2 linked regions of the Kluyveromyces lactis genome follow. The protein of the gene in region 1 binds, or shares a complex with, the protein of each later gene. Links are inferred from orthologs where the notes say so. Each region holds a gene or a part of one and is shown in the gene's direction. Other genes may lie near its edges.

Evidence for each region. The genes of interacting proteins can lie anywhere in the genome.
Region 2: RPP1A (region 1) and RPL3 share a complex: the UniProt entries of both Saccharomyces cerevisiae proteins name them as parts of the large ribosomal subunit. The link is inferred for Kluyveromyces lactis from reciprocal best matches to the Saccharomyces cerevisiae genes RPP1A and RPL3.

Annotation. Positions count from the first base shown.
Region 1 is NC_006041.1:1,966,769-1,968,966, reverse strand, and holds RPP1A (ribosomal protein P1), read left to right. Parts: upstream 1-1,331; coding exon 1,332-1,652; downstream 1,653-2,198. Other genes in the region: SIP5 (Sip5p), read left to right, coding at 1-674; KLLA0_E22001g (60S ribosomal protein eL13), read right to left, coding at 2,110-2,198. UniProt on the Saccharomyces cerevisiae protein: Component of the ribosome, a large ribonucleoprotein complex responsible for the synthesis of proteins in the cell.
Region 2 is NC_006042.1:1,522,408-1,525,672, forward strand, and holds RPL3 (60S ribosomal protein uL3), read left to right. Parts: upstream 1-1,487; coding exon 1,488-2,651; downstream 2,652-3,265. Other genes in the region: YNG1 (Yng1p), read right to left, coding at 2,908-3,265. UniProt on the Saccharomyces cerevisiae protein: Component of the ribosome, a large ribonucleoprotein complex responsible for the synthesis of proteins in the cell.

The DNA of each region.
Region 1 (2,198 bases):
CAATATGTTTCCTCTACTTTCCTAAGCCTTTGAATATTTCCAGATGTTGCAAGCAACCGATCTGTACTGAATGCTTCGTCCAAATCAAGCGTGCCGCACCACACTTCCCGCATGAAGAGGTAGATCCAACTCAAGATCAAGAACCGGACGAATTGAAGGATCCCAACCTTCTTGTCAGTGAACCTGCCAATTGCCCTTACTGTGCCACTGCAGAGTTTGGTGTAACATACGAACCGCGCAGGGACGTGCGGACTGGAATCAACGGGATCTACGCTTCCGAATACAAGATTGCCGAATACAAGGACCGTGAAGGCCTAGTATCGGATTCTAGCAGCAATGAAGATGACGAACTCGTAACTATAGAACAAATTCGTAGGGGCTCAATAGCAGCCGATGATCCGTCTGTGATAACATCCGATTCTATAAGACCTGACTGGGAGATCAATCTAACCAAAGAAAGATTAAGACTCGCTAGAAGATCAGCAAAAGCTACTGCAATACACATGAGTAATCAATTAATTGATCCCGAACACCCTTCTAGACACGCATCCATTTCTTCTTCAGTTGGAGGCCCTGACGGAGGGAATAGTCCTCAACGTCGTCAGAAAACATTAGAAGAACTGGATGACGAAATGCTCCAACAAGCAATCAAACTAAGTTTGCAGGATCATTAACCTAATTTGGAGCTTATTTCATGAACTGAAAGCATTTTCTCCTGCACTGCTGTCTCCTTCATTACCTTCACGACTAACGACAGATACAATCAACACATTCGCAAATTACTTCACTTTGCATGCATCTTTTAACAATCCCATAACTTTCGCATCATACCTTAAGATACAAGGTACACTCATCAGTAACACTGCGCGCGAGTATATATATGTTTATAAAACATAGAATATTATGTGGAATATAGCACCCATCTGCGGACTCACTCCGACTCAATATCAGGGATTCTCCCTTGTACATCTACGCTGACTCTGTACATCCAGCGTTTCATGCAGAAACATTATATCACATCACACGAATTATCATGCCTGACGAAACCACGCAGCTTTTCCTGAAATTTTTCACCTTTCCACGATGAGATGTGAAATATCAATAAAACTTACAGGAGTAACCATTTAACATTTCGATAGGAAAAGTATTTGTTTTACACATGATGGCATTTGTTCAATTTGAAGCTTCTTTTATGAAATATTCTTATTACTTATATCGTTTTATTATTTAGTTTCTCTTATTTTCAAAGGACCAAAGAAATAGTCTGCTTCATTACGAGCTTAATCTGATTATCTCTACACTTGCCAGAACCAGGAAATTTTACATTAGAAATGTCTGTTGAAACTGCTTTGTCTTACGCTGCTTTGATCTTGGCTGATGCTGATATCGAAGTCTCTTCTGAAAAGTTGTTGGCTTTGACTGAAGCTGCCAACGTCCCAGTTGAAGGTATCTGGGCTGATATCTTTGCTAAGGCTTTGGCTAAGCAAAACATCAAGGACTTGTTGGTCAAGTTCGAAGCTGGTGCTGGTGGTGCTGCTCCAGTTGCTACTGGTGGTGCTGCTGCCGGTGCCGAAGAAGCTGCTGCTGAAGAAAAGGAAGAAGAAGCCAAGGAAGAATCCGATGATGACATGGGTTTCGGTTTGTTCGATTAAATTAGGTTAACTTTTAACATAGGAGGAATAAATTCTGTTTTTATTACTAGCGCATTAAGCTACTACTTACTACGTTAAATTTGAGAATCAAATAACACATCATTTGAGTGTATACACAAATATGTATATATAATCAACCGTTTTTAATACACAAACGTCCAATCTTCAAAGCATCTCATCACTAGTGACACTTTGAAATATAAGTAGGATCGTATAAGGTTCCATAATATCATTAGACAAATTGATAATCTGATAATTTGAATTAGATGTAAAATATTATAGTTTATACGTTTTTTTACACGGTAGACAATGTCTCATAATTACCAAACAGGAAACTTATTGAGAAAGGGGATGCGGTGACATTAATTCTTAATGACGGAAAGATAATTTGATTAAAAGATATTTATAAAATAAAACAACGTTTTGTCTAGTATTTGAATAAAAGGTATGGAGTTGCTTATTTCTTCTTTTCAGCTTCAGCTTCAGCCTTGTCCTTAGCTCTCTTTTCTCTGATACCCTTGTATCTCTTGTCGGATCTAGCCAATC
Region 2 (3,265 bases), on another chromosome or scaffold:
TATAATTTACAAATCTTTTCAGAAAGAATATAATATTCAGATAAAGAGACACCAGGAAGCATGGAAAACTCGCAATATATGAATTTCAAGAACCCGGTATTTAACACGCCGGTGCACCGTTTCTTGTGGTCGAACAATTTGGACCGGAAAGGTGAACCCACTCCGATTTATCTAAGGTACCACAGACAATAGAGCTACAATACTATATTTCCAAGCGTGTCAGCAGTGTCAATTCAGAGTCATCCAACTGAGATTCCAACCAGACCCCGGTACTTTTCCCAGTGGTTGGTTACCTGAATCTAAAAGAAAAACAATATGGAGCTTTCACTGTAATTATTTGCAGAAAAAGAGAAAAACAGCCAAAAGAGGTTGCTCGGAAAAGTGGTTCTCCTTTCCGCAGCTAGAATGTGCAGTAGAAAACGGTTATTTTTCCAAAGAATAGTGGGGCGGGAATCCGAAAAAATCATAAAATTGTTTTTTCTTTCTATGGTTCTCTTAGAATCACAAGGGGGGACAAGAAGAAAAACATCTACGAGACCTATGTATTACCCGGGCTGATGCCCGGGTGTGTTTTCTTTTTCTTCGCTTATTGCTTTTCCTTTCGGAAAGATCTGTACGGGGCGACCTGTTGTTTCGATGGGGAGCCAGAAAAGTTTTTCCGACTGGTTGGAGAAGGAGATTTGACAGAAATAAAACAGCTTGAGTATCCAGCTCTAGCGGAGGTGCGCAGTGGGTGTCGTAGGAAGAAGCGGGAAAAACGGCAGTGTTGTTTTTCCGGGATTCGTCTCGTAAGGTTTTTCCGAATGGTGTGAGGAACAACTTGATGGTGAGACTTTTTGGAGATCTCAGTTCGTCACATTACGTAGTGGTAATAAATCGTGTTGATCTGCACACGTCTCTGTTTTTGTTGTTGTCGTTAGTGATTGATAACAGTTGAATGTAGTTTCACTGTGGTTTTCTTCTTTTCCGTGCATTTTTGTTTAATACTTGTTGGCTCCATCGTTGTGTCATTTGTTTACCATTTGAAAAAGATAGGTGCCTCCCGCCGTCATTTCGTCAGGACCAAAGGCGAACCGATAAATGGGGGGTAAACTGCGTTTCAGAGGGGAAAAACAGAAAAAAAAGAACAAGTCACGTGGGCGGATTCTATATGCACTGTTACCCCGTCTTTCTGTGATTTTTGTATTTTTACCTATGGACGTATCTAATGATAGTACTTTCTCCTATTTAAATCACCTTTCACGAACTTTCTCGTCTCTCATCTCCAAGCGATCTTGAAGAAAAAAATTTTTTTCACATCTCATCGCATCGAAGCTTGGACTATTTAAAAAACATGAAAAAATCAAGTGAAAAATTTTTAATAGTTCTTCATCTCATCATATGTAAAGTTGAAAGTGTTTAATGGTATCTACTTTGTTTATTTCCCTTCCCCATCGCAAAACTCTAGAACGGTAACCACAGCTCTAGCTAGTTAATATTAATACACAATGTCTCACAGAAAGTACGAAGCTCCACGTCACGGTCATTTAGGTTTCTTGCCAAGAAAGAGAGCTGCCTCTGTTAGAGGTAGAGTTAAGTCTTTCCCAAAGGACGACCAAACTAAGCCAGTTGCTTTGACCTCTTTCTTGGGTTACAAGGCTGGTATGTCCACTATCGTTAGAGACTTGGACAGACCAGGTTCCAAGTTCCACAAGCGTGAAGTTGTTGAAGCTGTTACCGTTGTTGACACCCCACCAATCGTTGTTGTCGGTGTTGTTGGTTACGTTGAAACCCCAAGAGGTTTGAGATCCTTGACCACCGTCTGGGCTGAACATTTGTCCGACGAAGTCAAGAGAAGATTCTACAAGAACTGGTACAAGTCCAAGAAGAAGGCTTTCACCAAGTACTCTGCTAAGTACGCTGAAAACGGTGCCCAAGTCGACAGAGAATTGGCCAGAATCAAGAAGTACGCTTCTGTTGTTAGAGTCTTGGTCCACACCCAAGTCAGAAAGACTCCATTGTCTCAAAAGAAGGCTCATTTGGCTGAAATCCAATTGAACGGTGGTTCTGTCTCTGACAAGGTTGACTGGGCTAAGGAACACTTCGAAAAGACCGTTGCCGTTGACTCTGTCTTCGAACAAAACGAAATGATCGATGTCGTTGCCGTTACCAAGGGTCACGGTTTCGAAGGTGTTACCCACAGATGGGGTACCAAGAAGCTTCCAAGAAAGACCCACAGAGGTTTGAGAAAGGTTGCTTGTATCGGTGCTTGGCATCCAGCCCACGTTATGTGGTCCGTTGCTAGAGCTGGTCAAAGAGGTTACCACCACAGAACCTCTATTAACCACAAGGTCTACAGAGTTGGTAAGGGTGACGACGAAGCTAACGCCGCTACCGAATTCGACAGAACCAAGAAGACCATCACCCCAATGGGTGGTTTCGTCCACTACGGTGCTATCAACAATGATTTCGTTATCTTGAAGGGTTCTATCCCAGGTACCAGAAAGAGAGTTGTTACTTTAAGAAAGTCCTTGTACACCAACACCTCCAGAAAGGCCTTGGAAGAAGTTACCTTGAAGTGGATCGACACTGCTTCTAAGTTCGGTAAGGGTAGATTCCAAACCCCAGCTGAAAAGCACGCTTTCTTGGGTACTTTGAAGAAGGACTTATAAACTCCTCAACTCTAATAGAGTCGAATTGAGTAAAAAGCTTTGCATGCTGTAATTTTATAGACTAGTTTTGGAGTACTCAAGAAAGTGTTTACACTTTCTTTCACTATCCCATCGGCTGGTTCATAATATTTCCTGTTGTTTTGACAACTATCTTTAAATATGAAAATATTAGCATTTGAATAAATAATAATTACACGCGCTTCCTTCTTGCAAGTTATTTTTCTGGAGAAGCACTGAAGAGCCTCCGCGGTCTTCATCAACGCTTTCTTCTCTTGCTCTTTTTCCGATGATTGGAGTACTGTTTCCTACACATGTCACTACAAAACCATTTCTCATTGGGTTTGGGTGCGGCTGATAATCCTACACAGGGGTAATGGAACCATTCGATGGCACAAGATTCATTATCACAAGCAACCATGGGTCCATACGACACATCTCTACAGAAACAGTACGTCTCTGTCTCTGGCTTGTGCGTCTTATCATGATTCACATGTTCTTGCTGAATCAGTTTCTGTTCCCTTTCTGCCTCTGGGTACCTTGATTTCATAGTGATCTTAATCTTGATCGGTTTGTGATGAGGCAAAGGTTTCAATTTCGGTTGTTTCTTCAAGTGA